3 linked regions of the Drosophila melanogaster genome follow. The protein of the gene in region 1 interacts with the protein of each later gene in a pairwise test. Each region holds a gene or a part of one and is shown on either strand. Other genes may lie near its edges.

Evidence for each region.
Region 2: the proteins of vilya (region 1) and CG13474 interact in a two-hybrid assay, tested with the Drosophila melanogaster proteins (one large-scale study listed by BioGRID).
Region 3: the proteins of vilya (region 1) and Nin interact in a two-hybrid assay, tested with the Drosophila melanogaster proteins (one large-scale study listed by BioGRID).

Annotation. Positions count from the first base shown.
Region 1 is NC_004354.4:2,724,978-2,728,305, forward strand, and holds vilya (vilya), read left to right. Parts: upstream 1-1,700; 5' UTR 1,701-1,729; coding exon 1,730-2,250; intron 2,251-2,314; coding exon 2,315-2,507; 3' UTR 2,508-2,591; downstream 2,592-3,328. Other genes in the region: fs(1)Ya (female sterile (1) young arrest), read left to right, coding at 1-1,514; dwg (deformed wings), read left to right, coding at 2,855-3,286. UniProt on the Drosophila melanogaster protein: Required for the formation of DNA double-strand breaks during meiosis together with narya and nenya.
Region 2 is NT_037436.4:14,696,051-14,698,867, reverse strand, and holds CG13474 (uncharacterized protein), read left to right. Parts: upstream 1-1,762; 5' UTR 1,763-1,767; coding exon 1,768-2,214; 3' UTR 2,215-2,317; downstream 2,318-2,817. Other genes in the region: CG17177 (uncharacterized protein), read left to right, coding at 1-1,555.
Region 3 is NT_033779.5:5,276,933-5,280,769, reverse strand, and holds the start of Nin (ninein), read left to right. Parts: upstream 1-2,221; 5' UTR 2,222-2,580; coding exon 2,581-2,836; intron 2,837-3,428; exon of another isoform or gene 3,429-3,444; coding exon of another isoform or gene 3,445-3,523; intron 3,524-3,589; coding exon 3,590-3,834; intron 3,835-3,837. Other genes in the region: Bub1 kinase, read right to left, coding at 1-442, 499-1,410. UniProt on the Drosophila melanogaster protein: Required for the positioning and anchorage of the microtubule minus-ends in various cells.

The sequences.
Region 1 (3,328 bases):
TGTCGTCGTTCAGCAACAGCTCCATTCGTCGCTCCATTGGCCAACTGGGCGTGAATCCGTCCGAAACGATGGAGAAGGGCAAGGTCATACGCTCGACGTCCACACCACTGCACGTGGAGTCCGTGTTCGCCAAGCCCAAGGAGCCGATTACCTTCAATGCTTCCACTGGCGGCCACGTGTCCAGCATCTACCACGAGGAGCCCAGTCCGACACCCGAAAGCAATCCCGTCCAGCAGCAGCAGCAGCAGCAGCAGCCGTTGCAGCAGCGCGCCTGGAAAATGGGCGCCCGCAACAAGATGAGCGCCGCAACGCCGCTGCGCCAGGTCATGTCCAAGAGCATTCAGAAGGCCTTCGTCGAGCACGGCGGCATGATGGTCCACCAGCCACCATCCGCAGTGGTGCAACGTCGCGTGCGCCTCGATCTCAGCGAGCACAGTTCGCACGAGGCAGCAGGCTCGTCCGCTCTGGACCTGCGACTCTCGCCAGCTATGCGGCGCACCCAGAGCGAGTCCAGCGCCTCGGAGGTCAACAGCGGCAGCAGCTCCAGCTACAGCACCTCGCGGAATGCCGATCTATGCAAGCGGCAGTTCTTGCTGTCCGCACAGAAACTCACCACCGAGTCGATCATCATCACGCGGACGAACTCCAGCTCACAGAAGACCTCTTCCACGGTGTACAACTCATGCGAGAGCGTCGAGATCATACGCTCCACCTCGGAATCAGCGGAAGTGTGCCACGTGCCGGCCATAACGCCCATCCGTGTCACCGGTGCCGGCATCAACAAGAAGCAGATCAAGTTCGAGACGCCGCCCAAGAGCAGCCAACAGATGCGATCGAATGGCGAGGGCGATGAAACCAAGGACCAGTTTTTCACGCCGGAACCGGGAACGCCGGAAATTCCAGAGCGTCGTCATCGCCAGGCGATTGTGCCGCGCCAGCTGAGCGGCGAGTTTTCGCCCAAGAAGGATAAGCCGAAGGAGAAGGGGCTGGCGGTGATGGCCCTGATCTCGCCGCCATTGCAGCAACCCAGGGTGCGTCCTCCGTTGCGGGAATGCCGTCAGCAGAGGGTCTATAGCGGCGTGCAGGATGTGGGCGAGCCGGAGGTCGTGGACGCAGAAGAGGAGGACGAGGTGTTCCGCCCCACAAACGCCTCCACGTGCAACGACAAAAAGCTGGAGGCGCCCAACTCCGGTCGCCTGTGGTCGCTGATGAGTTCCATGATGCGACTGCCGGCCAGCTTGCGCGGCGAACGCGAAAAGGACAGGGACAGGGACAGGGATTCGGATAAGGAGAACGCTGGTTCGGGCTCACTCATCCGTCGCTGCGCCTCCATCGCTGGATCCCTGGTGCGCCCCAGTGCAAGGGACTCCTCCATGGAGGACCAGCAGTGCCTCAAGAGAAAGCGCACTCAGACGCTGGACAGCCAGTACTGTAGCCCGCTGTCGCCGTCCAGCTCCTCGAAGCGCTACCGCATCCGGCCCAGGGAGCCCATCGAGCGCATGCGTCGCCAGTAGGTTTTAAGCTTTTGCCTGCGAATCTGTGTTTTAATTGTGAAATTCTTCTTTTTTTTTATCGTTTAATAAATGTTTGGTCTTGCATTAACCGTTATGCGCAGCAGGAGTTGGCAGGTCCAGGAGCTTAGCTCGTCTCATTCAGAGCTGCCAACTCTATCTATTGATTCTGTTATTAATTAGTTGCGCACAAGATCGAAAAGCTTAACGGAGCGCCCATGGCGAAATCACAAGCAGGTCAGACTGTCGAGCCGGAGGCGTCCAAGCTGTGGATCCACTGCAACAGCTGCTGCGCCCTGTTCTGCGATAAGAAGCACACCTTCTTCCTGCTCGCCTGCCATCACGTGTTCTGCGAGCGGTGCGTCAAGGTCTCCGCCGGCCGCACGCCCAGCGACGCGCCCATATTCGAATGCTCCACCTGTCGGCGGAGCGTGCGCGGCCGCCAGTTGACCAACTCGATGCCCAACCACTTCAAGCAGCTCTTCCATCCGGAGCCCTTCACCATCGGCAACGACTTTGTGGAGACGTTCCAGCGCGGCAATCATCGGCACTTCGACAAGTACAAGGAGAGGAAGGAACTGGAGATGGATAAGCTGTTCAAGGACATCGAGGTGGCCAAGTCCGTGTGCCAGAAACGCTTCCTGGAGGCGCAGATGCTGCGCGTGGAGCGCAAGAAGCTGATGCAGAGGTCGCGCTACATTAAGGCGGAAGTCGCCAATCGGAAGGCGGAAATGCATCGGTGCGACATTTGGATTCCATTGAAAATAGTTCCCATTAATGCATTATATTTCTACCCGCCTTAGGATGGCCCAGGCCTACCGAAGCCGCTCGCTGACTTCGCAATCCTCGTCATCCGCCCAACGCTCGGCGCGCGGACGTCCTCGTGGCCGTGGAACAGCCACACAGTCCTCCAGTCGACGCCGATCAACGGAATCAGCAAAGCGGCAGCAAATCACCAGCTTCATACACCCGCCGAACAACTCGTTCGATCTGTGAGCTAGTGCTGATAGGTAAAGCTCTGTTTTACAACCGAGTATATATTTTTTGTAAATAATCAGCTTAAAACAATAAAATGGTGTCATAAGCTTTAAAATAATAAACTGCTAAGTTAACAGCGACCGTTAAGTTTCAATTAACAGTTTCGTTAGGATAACAGAAGTGTTGAAAGTGAATTCGATTAATCGAAATCCATCGATGACTGCTGCACCGATAATATCGCATAAGCATCTGCTCTAAAAACGCATAAAAATTGAATTGCAAGAAGTAGAAGAGCGAAACGTCATAAAAGCGGCAAATCCGGCGCTGTCCGACAAGAACCACAGGGGAAAGCGGATAAGGACATCATGATGAATAGCAAGATCGCCGAGGTAGTGGTGCTCAACTGCCGGACGTGCACGCGTGCCTGCAAGCTGCACAAGCCGCTGCAGGAGGAGATCGATCTGGGTTCGGAGGGCAGCACCACGCTGGCCAGCATGCTAAACTACTGCACGGGACTCTCGTTCGAGCCGCAAGACGGCGCCGCCATGCCGCAGCACATCTGCCTCCACTGCCTGCAGCTGCTGGAACAGGCGTTCAACTTCAAGCGCATGGTCATCGATTCGGACGAGCTGCTCCGCCTGGGCCTGGACGAGGCGCGCTGCTCCAGCTTTCACGAGAGTCAGACTCATAGCCCCAACCAGAGCCAGCAGCACGACCAGCAACAGCAGGCGTTCGACTCCACCGAGGAGTACGTCATGATCGAGATGCTCAACGAGGAGCAGGAGAACGTCGCCAATGTAAGTATCTATCACTTCACGGTGCAATGGAATGCAATGGTT
Region 2 (2,817 bases), on another chromosome or scaffold:
AAAGCTGAAAATCAGCGGAGATCTGGAAAAGGACGTGGAAAATGTTTTACCCCAAATTAAAAAGTTCGTTTCTAAGGGCATCAAAAGCTGCTGTGAAAACTTCACTAAATTAATAGAACATTATAAAAAGGATCTACATTTAAAAATCAAGAATCTGCCAAATAAATTAAATGAGACAGAATCTGAAAAATTAAATGAAAGTCACTCTATTCAAAAGAATCTAGGCTACATAGAAAAACAAGTTGAAGAAATAAGACCACTTTTTCAGAAGCTACAAAAATATTTTCGTGATAGTCAAGCAAATTCGAAATGTTGTGATGGCCTAAAAGAATCGTTTCAGTCATTGGAAAATAAATTATCGATAATCAAAAGCAATGGATATAACCAGTCTCTAAAGATAGAAAATCAGCTAAAAGAACTGAAAGATAAAATACAGGAAAATGTAGAAAAGACAAAAGACATAAAGACAACTTTAAGTCACCGCTTTGAAAATATTAAAAATATTCTTGGTATCTGCAATCAAAGCTACATACATCAAAATGTTCCAATGGATACAACTATTTTTCTTGACTTGGAAAAAAATGCAGAAACCTTAGAGAAACTCGCCGAAACGCTTTTCAAAAAGTTAGGCGTCTTGGACATTCATAAACCCTCAATAAATTTAAATGTAACCCTTAACACATGCCAGGAAAATAATGAAATGCTAACCAATATCCAATCTAAAATGGGGTATTTGCTTAAGCAAAATTCTAAAGATTGTTTTGAGGGATCGCCCACAGACTCCAAAAATTCTAAGTCTTTGATTATTAAAACTTGTTCATCTAACGAAAAGCTACAGAACAGTATTGCGGAGCTGGAAAAGGAAATAGGAATCTTGCGTAAAGAACTAAATAAATTCCCGAAATGCTGTAAAAAAATCGACGACCTTATCGTGCATATGGGAAAACTAGAAAATATGATTAATAAAATGAACCAAACTTACAATGATCATCTAAAAGCCAACTCAAATCAACTTAATTCTATAAAAGAGGGCATAGATAAGTCCTTAAGAAATTTGGGCCATAACCATGATGACGATGATAATAAAAAACTTCAGGAGCAGGCAAGAAAACTTAAAAAAGATCTTATAAAAGCTAGTTTGACCTTGAGCATTCTAAAAGAACGACAAGATGACTTATTGAAAGATAATAATAAAATTCAAACTTCACTATACTCTCCTGATGAGATGGATGGTTTAAAAAAGGAGCTATATGAGCTTAGACAGGACATTGAGGGAAAGTTAAAGGACTTAGCTTTAAAGAAGCAAAGCAAAATGGACGCTGTTAAACATCTCGATACATTCAATAAAGAAGTAATTCAGAATCTAGATAAAGCTAAAACAAGTACCCTTGAACACAAGGAACTAGATATGCGGATCAAGGATCAGACAGAGAATCAAATCAAGCAAACAAATGAAATGCTTCATTGTTCAAAAAAGTGTTTGAAAATTAACATGATGAACGATCTTATGGACCAAGTGGAAGACATGGAACGAATTGTAAAGATAAACAAATAGTGTTCTACATCTATTTCTGATCTATGATGTATAAGACGATATTGTTGAATAAAGCAATTCAAATAGCCAATTTTTTTTATTTTTTTTTTAAAATAATGTTTTAAAAATTATGTTGAATAAATTTAATTAATAAAAACTTACTACAAAAATGATTTTAAGATATCGGGCTTTCTGATTCTTTTGTCAGAGCTGTACTGAGTTAAATATAAATCATGCTACTACAAGCGGAATTTACAAAAATCGACGATGCCCTTGACATCTGTAGCTCCATGGAGGAGGATCTGAACGAGTGTCTGAATATCGTAGGGGCCATGATCGAGAAGTACAATGCTCCCGGACGCTACATCATATCCATGGATCCATTCGCTGAGGATTTTCAACTGAGCAATAGCGAGTCCACGGACTTGGATGGGTCGTCTATAGGAAGTTGTGACTCCGAGCTGGACATGCTAAGCCAACTCTACGGAGCCAGAAGTGCCCAGGAGTTGGATGAATCTTACGTCGATGTGCGCTATAAGTTTATCAAGCTGAAGCGGTTCTTCGAGGGTACCTTTACCCATTTTCTAAGGATCGTTGACTGTGCTGATCGTCAAAATAAGATTTCACATCGCATTTTTATGAACTCGCAGGATACCAAGGGGAAGCGGTGCAGGCACTAGGAATGCAAATTTCCTCCAACTATTCCATCAAACTTGCGCGCGTGTGTAAACTGCAAATTGTGTCGACACTTGGCAGGTTTTATTAAAAATTACTGTCACCATTAGTCGAGTTGCCCGATGACTTTCAGCGAAAAAAAGTGGTGCAGGGATGAACTTTCCAAAACTCATTTGGCCTGACATGAAAATGAGGCAAAGTTTTTTATCAGAGCCTCAGTTTTTCTTGCGACACAAGTTGCGCCTGACGTTAAGCACGACGACGATGATGACGTCGATGTTGGTGGGACAGTAACAAGTCAGCTGCATGTTTATGAGCACGACAATGGGTAAATACAAATACGGACATGCGAGAGAATATGTTGGGGGAAAACATGAGAAATTGCCAGCGCAAAACTTGAGATAATGTAATGCAAAAGTGGCCCAGGACCAGAGGAAACTTTTCCATAACGCTTTGCCAACTTGGCTCTGTGTTTGTACTTGGTAATATATTTGTGAGCATTATTTTATTTCGTATACCTGTTACTCGTGAACGGGTATATTAGACTCGCCATGTAGTAAATAATATGCAATATTCGTTAGTCCGCTCGCCAATACATTCATATAAAC
Region 3 (3,837 bases), on another chromosome or scaffold:
CATCCACAGCAGTCATATAGTAAGATTTCTCAGTTTCGTAGGAATCATAAAGAGTTTGCTGTTCTTGTTCTGGCGGCTCCGATGGCTTGGCTTTTTGATCCATTAACTGCTTAAACTTGCGGGCTAGTATCTCTTCGGGACTGTACTCGACGCCTGCTCCTGGTGGATATACCAACTGCTTGGCATAGTGGCACACGCGCGAGGGATCATCAGGCTCTTCAAGCGTTAGAGCCGGCTTCCATGTCTCATGGTTGTTGCGCCCGTAGGCGTGGAAATTGCGCGGCAAGCGTAGGCCAGCCACTTCATTTGTCACCGGAGGACTTTGTTGAGGAGGTGGATTGCCGTTGCCGTTTTGTTGCTGCTGCGGCTGCTGTGCGTGCAACTGCGGTACTGTAGTTTGTTGCGGCGGCAACTGTGACTGTTGGGCTGGTGCATAATGGGACTAAAACAAAAAAGGAGTATTTATCAAGTAGCTTTGATATTAAATTTAATGCTCACCTCTGCCACAGGAGCATAATGCGATTGTTGCTGGACTTGGGATGGTGGTATTGCTGTTGGGGACTGAGTTGCAGGATGTGGTTCATAGCGCGGCCGCTCCTGGTAGTGTGTCTGATAGGGGACCTGTTGTTCTGGCGGCAGTTGCTGTTGTGGCGCCGGCTGATGAGGCTGTGGGGCTTGATGTGCCTGCGCCTGCGGATGATATTGCTGATAGACATTCTGCTGATATGGCTGGGGACGGTGTTGATTATAGCTCTGTGGCATCTGCTGCTGTGCATAGTTCGTGAGTTGCTGCAGTGCATCCTGCGGGGGATGTTGCTGGTGCTGCTGTTGTTGCTGTTGTTGCTGCTGTTGCCGCTGGTAAAAAAGAGACCTGGCATAGGCGAACTTGGTGTGGGCGTGCTGCAGCTCGGAAGTGCTCTGCGCCTTCTCCTGGAAGGCCAAGTTAAACACCGCCTCCGCATCCTTATACTCCTCGCGAGACTCGTAATAGGCAGCCCATCCAATGTAGAAGGCGGCCACCTGGCGACCAGTTCCTCGCTGAAAAAGCACCTGGTAGAAATGGAGTGGATCCGTTTGCATGGCTATGTACTTCAGCCACAGCCGCACCAAACGGACATCCTGGCGATAGTAGTCATTGTGCTCATACACCGTCAGGCAGCGCTCCAGAGTTTCGCGGTACTTTAGCTCCGGATCGCTTTGCGCGTGATTCTCGTACCAGCAGATGTAGTTGTACCAATGATCGAGTGGATCAGGACCCTGGTACAGGGATATGGCGTGCTCCCAAGCCTGCTTGTCGTTCAGGAAGCCGTGCATCTCGTCCGGGCTGGCCAGCGGCGGTGCTCCAGCTGCGACTGCTCCTGCTCCTCCTCCGGAACCCGATCCCTGGCGCATGTACGAGTGCATGGCCATCTCGGCCGGACGCGGAATCCTCTGATCCCGCTGCGCCGTAATGCAAACAAATGAATGCGAGACTGTGGTTTCTACGGGTCACCACCAAAAAGTCTCGGATTGCGGAATGTAGTGCCCCTTGCCGATTGGACTGGTTAGGGTCCACTAACTCAGTTAATCCCTCGGCGTCTTCGGCTGTCACTGGTGGCACATACACATGATTTTCAGTTGGATTTTTCAACAGTTTGCAATGCTCAAAGATATTTTGTATTTTTTCTTGCTTTTCAGCTTGCAAATGGAATTTATTAGTGCTGCCAAACAATCGATAGAACCATTGGCTGTCACTGTTGACGATGGCTATGCACAAGGTTATCGATAGTGCGATAGAAACGTGTTGTTGGGAATTTTTAAACAAAAGCAATTTTTTGTACAACTTTACTTTTTATTTATTTATTTGTTGCCAAAGTTCAATTTTATTAATAAAACTATAGGGTTCTTTGTTTTAAATTATTGTAGTTTGAATGACGCACAATATATGTGTGTGTGCTATGAAGCACTTCCTATTTGATATACTTTTTGTATAATTATAATCTATTATTGGAAAACAACATGTTAATCGGATGATTTCAATTTATGTCAAGTTTTCTACTTTAATAAGGGGTCTGGTTGGAGCTGAAGCTTTCCAAGTAAAGTTAGCGATTTATTATATGGCATTACGTTCTCCCTTGTTATCTATTTATTTTGTAATATAAATATTCAAATCCTAAACGATAGTTGTATAACGATAGGAACAATGGTCCACGATAGTGCCACCTCCGATGCAAGTTTGCTTAATGCCCTCCAGAGCGCGCCACCGTGCTCGCTATTACTGCATTATTGTTTTTTATCAACTCGCTAGAAATTACGCTATTCCCAAAAAAACCGCAAACCCGCGAGTGTTTATGTTGCGTTCCGAAGTGCATATCATAGATTAGTAGTATTAGTAACCCCTCAAACAGCCTGCTGTCCAAAAAACACGCGTGATTCCCCCGCCACCCACGCACATAGACCCCGATATTTCACTTTTCTTGTTTTCGACCCCTGACTGCGTTTGTGGATTTTCCCCCCAAGAAAAAAAAAGCGAAGTGAAAACGCAATTGAGCAGCCGATCGATTGGAACGGCAGCAAACTGAATTCCCCGGGTTACGGATAATGGAGGTATCCGCCGATCCGTACGAGCAGAAGCTCTACCAAATGTTCCGCAGCTGCGAGACGCAGTGTGGACTTCTGGACGAGAAGTCCCTGCTGAAGCTCTGCTCACTGCTGGAGCTCCGGGATCAGGGATCCGCACTGATCGCCAGCCTGGGCGGCAGCCATCAGCTGGGCGTGTCCTTTGGCCAGTTCAAGGAGGCGCTACTCAACTTCCTGGGCTCCGAGTTCGATGGTAATACGTCATCGGGTTTCATTGGTGAGATAGCACAAAGAATCGATCACGCTATAGATTAACTTATATAGTATAAAGATAATATTTGCTATAAGCTAACGCGACAGGTTCGCATAAAACAACATACGTTTTATCTGTAATTGCGCTTTAATTACCCATCAAGCAACATCAGATAATTACGGAATGTTTGCCAGCCACTTATTAGAGATAGTAATTCAATTTTGACACGGATTTGGAACCGTGTGGGTTTCCCTATTAATAAAACACTGATCTAATGAACACATTTCTAGCAGTCTATAGATGAACAAAGCCATTACTTAATACTCAAAGAAGTGCTACCATCTACGTGCTAATTTGCAAGGATTATGCACATTTACTTCAAACCTCCGCTTATCTGATTTGGAAACTTCTGGGCAAATTTAGGACACCTTAGGGTACGAATATCATAATCAGCACGCGGATTAGCACGGCGGCAGCTGGCGATCATAAAATCATAGATGCAATTGACACTTTTTTACGACTCCCAACTGTTCTCGACTACCTGATCCTGCATGATCCTTATCAGGTAGATGGTTACAATGTCCTGTATAAATACGCGACACATTCACCTGGGCAGTTTAGTCTAAATCAAAATGGGAACACGATTGTATTACCGCCGATCCGGCGGTCAGTTAACAGATCCGATAATTGAGAAGCTAGCCGCTCGTTTTGGTAGCCACCTAAGATCCATACAACTCTTCCAGTTCTCTGCTAACTTATATCTATTGAATCTTCCAGAGCGTTCACTGGTGATTACGGATGAGCCGCTAAACAACACATACATCGAGAGTCCGCCGGAGTCTTCCGATCGCGAGGTTTCACCCAAACTCGTCGTGGGCACCAAGAAATACGGTCGCCGGTCTAGGCCACAGCAGGGAATCTACGAGTTATCCGTCACGGACTCGGACAATACGGACGAGGACCAGTTGCAGCAGCAGCAAAATCAGCGAAGCCTCAACGGATGCGATGAGCTGGGAGTTCAGGTG